Pelodiscus sinensis: one gene and its partners. The protein of the gene in region 1 purifies or fractionates together with the protein of each later gene. This does not show direct contact. Links are inferred from orthologs where the notes say so. Each region holds a gene or a part of one and is shown in the gene's direction. Other genes may lie near its edges. The genes, in order: DNAAF10, POLR2J and POLR3E.

Evidence for each region.
Region 2: the proteins of DNAAF10 (region 1) and POLR2J purify together in Homo sapiens (affinity purification with mass spectrometry; 3 studies listed by BioGRID and IntAct, with this or other methods). This does not show direct contact. The link is inferred for Pelodiscus sinensis from reciprocal best matches to the Homo sapiens genes DNAAF10 and POLR2J.
Region 3: the proteins of DNAAF10 (region 1) and POLR3E purify together in Homo sapiens (affinity purification with mass spectrometry; 3 studies listed by BioGRID and IntAct, with this or other methods). This does not show direct contact. The link is inferred for Pelodiscus sinensis from reciprocal best matches to the Homo sapiens genes DNAAF10 and POLR3E.

The regions. Positions count from the first base shown.
Region 1 is NC_134713.1:181,847,134-181,850,881, forward strand, and holds the start of DNAAF10 (dynein axonemal assembly factor 10), read left to right. Parts: upstream 1-933; 5' UTR 934-1,057; coding exon 1,058-1,246; intron 1,247-3,748. Other genes in the region: RNA-binding protein PNO1, read right to left, coding at 663-872. UniProt on the Homo sapiens protein: Key assembly factor specifically required for the stability of axonemal dynein heavy chains in cytoplasm.
Region 2 is NC_134731.1:15,827,673-15,831,420, forward strand, and holds the start of POLR2J (DNA-directed RNA polymerase II subunit RPB11-a), read left to right. Parts: upstream 1-1,418; 5' UTR 1,419-1,522; coding exon 1,523-1,575; intron 1,576-3,437; coding exon 3,438-3,527; intron 3,528-3,748. UniProt on the Homo sapiens protein: Core component of RNA polymerase II (Pol II), a DNA-dependent RNA polymerase which synthesizes mRNA precursors and many functional non-coding RNAs using the four ribonucleoside triphosphates as substrates.
Region 3 is NC_134726.1:22,733,862-22,737,609, forward strand, and holds the start of POLR3E (DNA-directed RNA polymerase III subunit RPC5), read left to right. Parts: upstream 1-1,418; 5' UTR 1,419-1,575; intron 1,576-3,748. UniProt on the Homo sapiens protein: DNA-dependent RNA polymerase catalyzes the transcription of DNA into RNA using the four ribonucleoside triphosphates as substrates.

The DNA.
Region 1 (3,748 bases):
TCTAAATTCTAGCTAAAGGGACATAGTCCACTGAAAAGTTACACTTCCATCTAAAAATGTGTACCTATCATTTCTAATATCACTTGAGCTGAAAAGAGGAGAAAGTGGCTGCTTTTTTCTAGTTACACCCTTCAGCACACGACTTACTGGTCTCATTATTTCCCAGCACGGTCATGTATCATGTGTGTATACAAAAAACAAAAGGAGAAAACCCATGAAACAATTCCGTAGCCGCAAAACCAGAGAAGTTTACGGGTGGAGTCAAGATTAGGTCTAGCGCCCTCGACTACTTTTCTTGCTTTAAAAAAAAAAAAAATCAGCTTTCAAATTAACAACATCGCTCAACACGACAGCTTCATCGGCAGGGAGGTGAAACCTAACAACTTCTCCGCTGCCCCCGGTACTCCCACTGCGCCCTTATCTACAGCCCTAAGGCGACAGGACACCCCCCCCCCCAAACCCCGGGCTGCCACACGGCTGGCGGCCGGACCCAGCTGTGAGCCACGCTAGGAGCTCGGCCTTGGCACGGAGGCGGCGCAGGGGAGCTTCTCCCCCATGGCGGCCCCCGGCGAGCAGGGCTCGGTGACAGCGGACCGGGCAGCGCGGGGCCCCGGAGCGACACCCCCGAGATTAGGCCCAAGGCCCGGCGCGTCCCGTCTCACCCTGAGCGCGTCCGCGGAGACGGGGGGGAAGTTGGGCCTCTTGCTGGGCCGGGGCTGCCCCGTGTCCATGGGGGCCCCGCCCCGCTCCAGCTCGGCCGCCCGTCGCTTCCGTTTGCCCCGCCGGGGGACCTTGATAAAGCCGCCGGCCTCCGCCGCGCCCTGGGTCTGCGGGGCTGGGACCCCGGCCCCGTCCTCCACCGGCCCTTCCATGCAGCACCCCACGTGCGGGCGAAGCCGGGCTAAAAGATCGACGTAGCCCGGGCCCACGGAGACGTCACTTCCGCCCCGAGTGATGCCTGCCGCGGGAGCACTGGCGTGAGCCCCGGATGTTGCCGTTGCTCGCTGGGCACCCGGCTCGTGGTTGAGTCGCCGCAGGCCGCGGCGGTTGGGGCGGCATGTCGGGCGCGGGGATGGAGAAGCCGCAGCTGATCGCGCACGTGCAGCAGTCGCTGAACTACACCGTGTTCGAGTGCAAATGGGTGCCGTGCAGCGCGCGCCTGCTCTGCCTCGGCAGCGTCCCGCGCGGCACCGGCCTCATCCAGCTCTACGAGCTGCAGAGTGGCCGCCTCAGCCTGCTGCGCGAGGTGAGTGTCGGCAGCCGCCCGGGCGCTGCTCCCCCCTGCCCGCTGGGCTCTGCCGAGGGGGGGTGCCGCTCGCCCCCTGAGCTCTGGTAACCTCTTTACGACCCCCCCCCCCCCCCGCCTCTGAGTCTCTTCTCAGGCCCCTCAGTGTCTCCTCCCTCCCCCGTGAGCTGCTGTCCGCTACAGCGGGTGCCAGGACCCGCAGCACCTGCTCCCTGAGGGTTGGTTGCCATGGTAATGTTGGGGCACGCCGGGCCTGCCCAACCCAGGGTGCTGGGCAGGCGGCCCCTCAGCCGTCTGGCCGGGGTGTAGGGTGGAAGCACAAAACTCTCCCCTTCCTTTGAAAATCTCCCTCCCTCCCCCGATAAAGATGCTGTCAGCACCCCGCTGATGCAGTCTGCAAGAATGGTCTCATTTTTTTCCTCACACACCTTGCAGATGAAAGGAGGAGAGGTCTGGTAAGACAATGTAGTCCTTCCCCCTGCAGTCACCAATAAAGAACAGGAACCCCGGGTATGTGGCTGTCTCATAGACTTTAAGGTCACTTCATATGCTGCCTTCTAATGACACTTTTTGCCTCAAATGACTAGAACCCTGTATGGATACGTAATTCGTACCCGCATAAATAATTTTCGAGTGTAGATACCAGCACATAAAGAATATCCAAAAATGGAAAAATTCATCTAGAACCTTATACATCCATGTGCAGAATTAATGTTTCTGTGCACTGAGGCATGCAAACAATGTGCACCTTCAATAGAAACACACAACCTTCCTGTGGGCTCTCTGCTAGTCAGCTGGGCAGCATTTTAATTTCTCTGGTGTGGCAGGAGCACACTGCTTACAGGGAATACTGTTCTAGTGACAACATTTGTATCCACAAAAATCTGTATCCATGGAGAGCTGCATTCACATCTGTGTATGTGGATATCTTGGGATATAAAGCAGATATCCATGGATTTGCAGGATGCTACAGGTGACCCCAAAGTCATCTGGTAAAACATACGTAGTAATGAATTGCAGTCACCACTTGAGTGGAGAGTGGCATATTTCACACAGGGTACTTCTAAATGGGGATAGGGAAGGAAGGAGAATATTGTCAAGGTAAAACATGTAAACAGTGTTTCAAGCCATCCTTTTCTTTAAAAAGAACATAAATTAAATTAAAAAACAAACTTTAAAACTCAACTTTAAAATGTCTACTTCATTGACTGGTCTTACATGGAATTTCCTAGAAACTCTCCAGCTTCATTTCTCATTCTGATGCTTACATAAGAGCATACATGCCATATGCTGCCTGCACTGTGGGAGGGTGTGAAGGAATGGTTCCACTGAAGCTTTTTAAAATACTTCAGTGTCATTTAAAGATCTCCTTATATTAAAAGATTAATCTGATTTCTTACTGTTCAACTCAGGATGGCCGAACTCTTCTGTCTGTAATGTGTATTTTCCCTGTTTTGAGGCTAAAAATAGTAGGTATGTATTAGAGTAGTATCTTCATGCTGAGATCCAAAGGATTTTACGACCAGGTACCTTGCAATAATGCTGGCAACTAATTTGTTTGTTAAAATCAGCTTAAGAAGTTTTTTTGATTGGGATTAATGTATTATCGAGTACACTGTTCCTAAAAATGATTTTACAAGTCTGTACTGTACTGTATTTGGATTTTAGACTCCGATGTGCTGCCAGAATTTTAACAAGAGCTTATATATTTCTACCTCAGCCATGTCACCACTTCCATACAAGAAAAAAATCCATATCCCTCCTTTATCTCCCAAGTATAATATGCATCCTCCAGTCCAGTATTCCATGACCTTAAGTATTTCTTACTAACTTGCTGAGGTTTCTTTAGCTGGCTCCTCTACCTGGCATCCTTTCTGTTAATCAGTTGTGGGAGTGAGGAGGAAATGCCTTTCCTCCTCAAAATCCATTTCTGTCTGTTACCATCTCACAACTCTGCTGATAGCCAGCCTAAAGATTTTGGGGGCATCACCCAAATTTAATTGCTCCTTGTTAAAAGGGGTAGGATGGCTGGCAATGTTTCATTTAATCTTTTCCATTCATGCACAAATTAATTGCATTAAGGCATGTGCAAATGTGCATCACCAGTAAAAACAACAAACCTAGTTCTTCAAATCAGCTTGGCAGCATTTTAATTTCTCCTGAGAAGCTGGGCATTTGCGTGTCTAATGGGCAACAATGGTAGCTGAGGTTATAAGTTTCAACAGACTCCTGTTGTAGAGGTGGAGCCTAGTTACACTGTTGCCAGCTCCCACATTACTTTGTTGGTGTTTTTTTAGAGCTCTGGCTCCTGGATTGATGTGATTGTGAGACTCCCATCTTTCATTTTAAAACAACAACAGAGTTCCTAGCTTTCCTGGTAGTGGAGAAAAGATTGAAAATGTGACCCTGAACTCTTAAAACCCAGAAAGTAAATAAAAAGAACTTCAGTTTCTTAAAATCTCAAAAGTTTTGGGTCTTATTCTTGATTTTTTGATGTTCTAT
Region 2 (3,748 bases), on another chromosome or scaffold:
GGCCCCTGGCTCTGTAACTCGCCGGCACTTCTGGGTTCAGGGATGCGGGGTCTGAATCGGCCTAAGGCCGGCCCCACCGGCAGCCACCAGGCATGGAGAGGCCCGGTGTTTATTTCCCGTGGCCCGGTACGCTGATCTACACCGATGAGGCGGGGCAGCTGGACACCTTGTAGTGCAAGGTGGACTTGTCACCCGGGTGGGGGATCAGCTCCTAACTGAGCAAGAGGCTGCTCAGGAGACTGGAACCCAAGGGCCTGGCAGTGGCTGTCAGGTGTCTTACCCGCCCACCTGTACCCCTGAAAGTGCAGCTGGAGTGGGGGTCAGTCCTATGCCTGCAGGCTGGCCCCATGGCTGGGGCTCTGACACCCAGGTGGTTAAAGCACTAGTGCAATGCACGACTGGCACCCCACAGCTGGGGCTCTGGCACCCAGTTGGTTAAAGCTCTAGTGCAATGCACTACGGCCCACCCACCGCTGGAGCTCTGGCACACAGGTGGTTAAAAAGCTCTAGTGCATCGCACGACTGGCACCCCACCGCTGGAGCTCTGGCACACAGGTGGTTAAAAAGCTCTAGTGCAATGCACGACTGGCATCCCACAGCTGGGGCTCTGGCACACAGGTGGTTAAAAAGCTCTAGTGCAATGCACGACTGGCACCCCACAGCTGGGGCTCTGGCACCCAGGTGGTTAAAGCTCTAGTGCAATGCACGACTGGCACCCCACAGCTGGGGCTCTGGCACACAGGTGGTTAAAAAGCTCTAGTGCAATGCACGACTGGCACCCCACAGCTGGGGCTCTGGCACCCAGGTGGTTAAAGCTCTAGTGCAATGCACGACTGGCACCCCACAGCTGGGGCTCTGGCACACAGGTGGTTAAAAAGCTCTAGTGCAATGCACGACTGGCACCCCACAGCTGGGGCTCTGGCACCCAGGTGGTTAAAGCTCTAGTGCAATGCACGACTGGCACCCCACAGCTGGGGCTCTGGCACCCAGGTGGTTAAAGCTCTAGTGTAATGCACGACTGGCACCCCACAGCTGGGGCCCTTTGCTTTGCGCTCAGCCCGACGCTCACGCTGTGCTGGGGAAAGCCGCGGGGGCTGCTGCCCAGCTGATGCGGGGGGGTCGTGAGCGGGGACCCCAGTCAGTCCCTCTGCCCGCTGTGTCTCTGCTGAAGGGCGGCGGTGAGCTGAGCCAGCGGCTCGCGGCCCTGCGGACGGTGCGTGAGCGGCGCCGCGATGCTGCTACTATCACCCGGGGGGCTCCTGCCGTCAAAAGGCTAGAACAGGTACTGCGCATGCCCGGCCTCTGCCGGCACAGGGGAGGGGGAGTCCAGTGAGAGGCGCAAAGAGCCTAGGACGCACGACGCGCGCTCGGGTGGCGACCGTTGCCGCCGTTCTGCCGCGGGCGTCACTATGACGTTGTTCCGGGTGGATTCGGCGGCGACGGGCTGAGTGCCCCGGAAGCGGAAGCGCTGGGACTGCCGGAAGCGGAAGCGGGCCCTGCTAGAAGCCGTTAGCGCCGCAGGATGAACGCGCCGCCAGCCTTCGAGTCCTTCCTGCTCTTCGAAGGGGAGAAGAAGTAAGTGCGGGTGGGACTCCACCCCCTCCGATCTGGACCCGACCCCTCCCTCAGTCCCCCCCCCCCCCCCACGAGCCGGACCCGCCCCCTTCCTCAGCCCCTCAGTCCCCCCCCCCCCCGAGCCGGACCCGACCCCTTCCTCAGCACTTCACCCGGGGTGACCCCTTTCTCAGACACCCCCCTCCCCCCCCCGTCGGACCGCTCCAGACATCGGCTCATCCCCCCTCCCTCCCCACACTCACTCTGCTGCGCTCACTCTGTGGTAGTGCCGCGGGCTTGGCCGCAGCTCGCTTGTACGAGGCCCCCCTGGGGTCAGGCCTCTCCAATAGCTTGCACCACGGGAGCTGTCGGCCCATCACCACTACTCTGCCCGAACCTCCTGGCCAGTTGTCAGCAGTCTGCTGGCCCGAGTGCTCACCTGGCCCTTAGGTAGCAGGGATTCCTTTCCAGCCATAACACTGAGTGTGCAGGGGGGCAGGTTACCTCAGGGACTTGTGGAATACCCAGCTGGAAGGTTTTTAACGGGAGTCTCAAATTCCTGGGCTGTCCCTGATGGAGCAGTTGCACAATTTGGTCCAGGAGCCCGCATGGCGGTTCGATCTCCAAGCCTGGCCTTTTTCTGCTACTGCCCTTCCCAAATGCTTCCCCAAACCCCACCTATGGGCTTTGTGGTGGGCACTAGGTCTGAGGGGAAGGAGGGGAAGCAGCTGCAGACCCTTGCTTGAGAACCACAAAACTAGACAACCTCTTGAAGTTCTTTCCATCCTGCATTTCTATTACAGGTTATACCTCCCTGATCTGGCACCCTTGGGACCTGACCAGTCCCAGATGAGGAATTTTGCCACACTCGTGGAGGTCATTTCACTCCATCCCCAGCCCACTAGCTCCCCCTCTGCCGCCTGCCCTGCCAGGCTTCCTGGCCCCGCTGGGCAGCCCCACTGCGATGCGCCAGGCTCCTGTCTGCCAGCCCTCCTCCAGGACACTCTGGTACTGGAACATCTGTGGTCCAGTGTTGCCAGACCAGAGAGTCCTGCTTTAGAGAGGTTCAATCTGTATTGTAAAAATCTCAATAATTGGCAGAGGGGCTTCCAGTTAGGTGGTAGACCATAAATATGTCTCCAATTCAGAGATGGTGTCACTTGACATTAAGTGTGTACAGTCCTAGGAGAGACAGTCAAAAGTAGGTGGGTCCAAATTAAATCCTTTAATTTCAAATCTTGCTCTGTTCTGCTCTGACATTTGGTACATATGCTATGTTTTGGCTCCTTTTACCTATTCTGAGTTCCGTAACCAAAGTTATTGGTTAAGTGAGAATTTCAGAAATACAAACTGATAGAGGCAGCAGTTGGGGTGGAAGCAACTAGTTGAGGGAGGCATCAACTAGTCAAGGGACTAGTTGACTAGTCGCTTACATCCCTAACTCTGAGGCTGACTAATTTACCCACAAAGCTTTTCAAATTAATGTTTGCTAAATTAACCTTTTGTTACTGCACTGTGCATAGAGTAATTTTTGGCCCATTGAAGAGTTTTCTCTTGCCAATAACAATATGCAGCTACAGCTGTGTGAGAAGCACTTGTTGTTACACTAATTTTTAAATTAGCAAGCTGTGCTCTGAAATTCTTTCTTTTCTTATGTCACTGTTGTGCTGCTGTAGCAATGCTGTTAGGGTTCTGTGAATTTTTTCCTTCTGATGAATCAGGATCATGATTCCATATTGACTTCATAAATTTGTTTATCCAAAACATGTACAAAAGTATCTATCTGGTGTGAATCAAAAGATAAATGTTGGATATTTATAGAATGGCTTGGTTTAATTTGTTAGCTCGCATAATTTGATTTAATACTATTTTTTTTAATTCAGGATCACAATTAATAAGGATACAAAAGTACCAAATGCCTGTCTGTTTACAATCAACAAGGAAGATCACACGCTTGGAAATATTATTAAATCGTAAGTCAAGTCACTTCCTATTGCACAGTTATAGGAGTACGGTAGCAAGGCAGTGGATTACATTTAGCTAGGATGGTTGCCTGGGTGCACAGTGACTAACCAAACACCAGATAACCTAGCATGCAGTCCGGTTTAGGAGCATGTTTGGGTGAGGTCTGCAGGCCTGTTTGTGGTAGTTAAAGGTATATAATTGTTAATGGATGCCCATTTCTCACTGTGGC
Region 3 (3,748 bases), on another chromosome or scaffold:
AAAATGAACACATATGAAAAGGACAAATCAAATTTCAGAACAGAAGGGGGATGGATGAAGGGAGGTAAATGTCTGTGAGCTAATGATATTAGAGGTGATAATTGGGGAAGCTATCTTTGTAATGGGGAAGATAATTAGCGTCTTTATTCACTTGAGTGTAAAGTGTCGAATTTAAGCATGAATAACAGTTCAGAGGATTCTCTTTCAAGTGAAGTCTTAAAATCAAGTCATTGAGACAATGTCCTTTCTGGTTGAAATGTCAATAAACTGTTTTTTCTTTGTGATCCTGTCTGATATCTGTTTTGTGGGCATTGATCCTTTGGTGAAGTGTCTGAGACGTTTGTCCAATGTACATAGCAGACGGACACTTTCGGCACATGATTGCATAAATTATATTTCTTAGACGGCTGTTTTACCACACAGCAGTGAGAAGAAAATGCCTAGAGGCTATAAGCTTTTCAAATGAACCAGGCTTTGATTTTTCAGCAAGAATTGTTCAAGAAAGAAAAAAATACATCAAACTAGAACATCCCGGGCAAGAGATACCAGAAATGTAGGCTTTTCCTGCCAAATTGCAGGCCTCCCTTATGGGGGGACAATTCACACTCATGGCATTGTGATGTTGCAAAGGCTTGATATTTGCATTGTAATGTTGCAAAACTTTGGGTTGATGCTGCACTGTGGCATTATATAACAGAAGCTTCATTGGGCTACTGTATGACAATTCTCTGATACACAGTGACATCACATTATTACACTGCCGTACTAGGATACTGAGTTTTGTAAAAGTTTGACACCCATTTTTATACTTAGTTGTTTCACATTGGAACAGTGACATGCCCACACTATTAGTGAGCAATGGGACATCCCTCCAGAACTTCAAGCAGCTCGGGAGCTCTGGAATGATTGCTCTAATTAATGCAATCTAAATGCAAAAATACTGATTAGCCAAACTTACCTGTTTGTACCTATTGCTAATATTATTTCTTACTATCTATCTAGATCAGTGATCTGAGCTTATTCATGTACTTGAGTTGCAAAATAGTTTATCTTCTGAAAAAAACTATTTTTAAACAAAAAAAATCTATAATGGAAGCAAGTGCATTCAAGCCCTTCATTTCTATGTGAAAGACTCTCCATAATTGAATATACCTCCAAAGCTTCTGACTATACAGAAGCTACAGTATTGGAAAATTATAAGGGAAAAAATACGAACCATCAAATGAATACACTATAGGAAGAGCTACATCCCATGTCGGTAGCGTGGCCGAGCGGTCTAAGGCGCTGGATTAAGGCTCCAGTCTCTTCGGGGGCGTGGGTTCGAATCCCACCGCTGCCAGAAAGCTTTTGTGCTTCTGTGTTTTGCAGGGGACCGCACAGCGCCGCCTGCTGCCACGCGGAGAACCTTGACCCCGCCTGGGAAGCATTGTGGGTAAGAGGAGGAACTAGTCTCCCCACGTGTCTGCTGCTGGAGTTACATCAACATGGCTGCTGCATAAGAGACCCCGGGACCCGCAAACCCATTGCAACGCGCCGAAGGGGGGGACCGGCTGCCCCTGGACCCCGCGCCACGAGGTAGGGGGGCTTGTGTGGTGCATGGCTCCGGCCCCTAGTGCTGCGCAGGGCGTTGCAGCTGCTGCGGGGCGCGTTCCTTTGCAAGGCCTGGGCTGGGGTGCGCGCTGCCTGCTGCAGTTCCTGGGCTTGAGCTCAAAACTCTCCCGGAGTCTGAACTCATTCGCCGGGAACTGCCTGGGGAGGGGGACCTGGGAATAGCTGGGCAGGGGTTGGGGATGCTCTGCATATCTCCCCCCCTCCCCCGGAATGATGCGGGGATGACTGCTGAAATTCACACGGTTTGCTTGTAATCAATCAATCAGTCTTCCTCTCTGCCTCTCGCCTGTGTATGTGGGGGGGCGTGCAGTGTCCCCTCCGTGCGATTGCTGCATGGTTACATCAGTCGTCTCAGCCTCACACCAAAGTCTAGTTATGGGCTAAGAATTGAAAAAAAGACTTGGCACCGTCTCTCTTTGCCTTTAGAGTATCCCAGGACTAGGAAAGAGTCAGATTTAACATGAGATTGTAGATAGGTGTGGAATCTCTTCTCCCTGAGGTGAAGTGGTTACATCGGCCATCTCTTTGGGGAGGCTTCTTCTCCTACCTCCCCCCAAGCAGTAAGCAGAGTTTGATAACTCCTGCCCCTCCAGCTGCTTCCCCTGTCCTGGAAGAGTGAGTAGTGAATGGCACAGGTACATGCACCTCTTTCTGGCCATCTGTGTTGTGGCTTGTTTAGGAAAAGCTTTACATCCTGATTCAAACTACCAAGTCATTCTTGCTCAGAGCAGGATTTTTGCAATCAATAGTTTAAACCTATGTTTTAAAAGCTGGCTAAATTGACATGTTTTGCTGTAATTCCCTATTTACTGTTATTGTGCTGGGAGAAAGTAGACTTACAAGCTGCTGGAAAAAATAATTAAAAACCTTCTTATAGCAGAGGGTGGCATCCAGTATGAAGGCCCAGCAGATACCAGGCACGATGTGTCATGCCTGTAATTTGGAGCTTTCACTGACTCACTGACCAGGTGACCTACCCTTTGCACTGGGTTTTCTTTGATTATGCTGTGGTTAGGGAGAAGCTATTTACTAATTTCATTCATCCAGCTACCCTGACACTGAAAGAACAAGCTTAACATTTAGTACACAAATGATATTTATGGAAATGTTAAGGTTCATGTACTGCCTGGCTGAAGTAACCATTACTGGAAATAGAAGCCTTGATGCACACAGTCCCAATGTTTTGGTTAATTAACAGAATGTGGTTTTGAAAAGGAGAAAGTGAAGGAGAGAACCTTGTAAATACACAGTTGTCTTCCTGTAGTTCTCAAACTAACATAGGCATTGTGCTGAACATCACCTGATCAGGATCTGGGCCAGTGTTTGAATGAGAGACCTCTAAGAAAAACCTGAGTGCTACAGGAAGTGACAATGCTAATTCAGAAGATGTCATTCTTCCCTTTTTAGTGGTTATGAACCAGAGCTTCTGCATATTAGTAGAACAGTGATTCCCATCTCTGTGTGTACCGTGACCCCATGTTGCACCAGAAAAATGTTTCAGGTCTCCCTGTACCTCAGTAATTTCAGGGGCCCCTCCATTCTAGCCATAAAGAGAAGCAGGTTAATTGTGAGCTGCTGGATCTATTTGTGCAAATCATGTTAAGAACCCATATCTGAGGGGGCACTATGGAACTGGAGATGCTAGCTTTCAGATGAGACACAAAACTGAGGTTCTGTCCACTTGTGGCCATCTTAAGATCCCATAGAATGAGAACAGATGTGTTACCTCATTGTTTTAGCTGAATTCAAACTTGGGGCAATCGAATTCTTGCTCATTAAATGCTACATGCAATTTAAATTAGATGGAATTTTTTTACTTGTTCTAAATTGAGCAGCTGTTAATCAGCTGCTTACCCCATCCCGCTTAACAGTGTTTTAGTTGTAGGCAAATTGAGATCTTTGCATGTATTACCCTACAGCTGTTTGGGGGGGGAGGGGATGTGTTAAAATGTAGTTAACTAATAACAGTGAGCTCTTTAGATGGACATACCTTCAGCAATCCAGAATCTACCTAAAAATAGTATTTGCACCATCTACTAAGTTGTATATTGTATCTTTTATTTCTCCCAATGTTTATCTTAATTTAATTCCTTTACTTTTTCCATTGTTCATGAACTCTTCTTCTGATTACTGTATT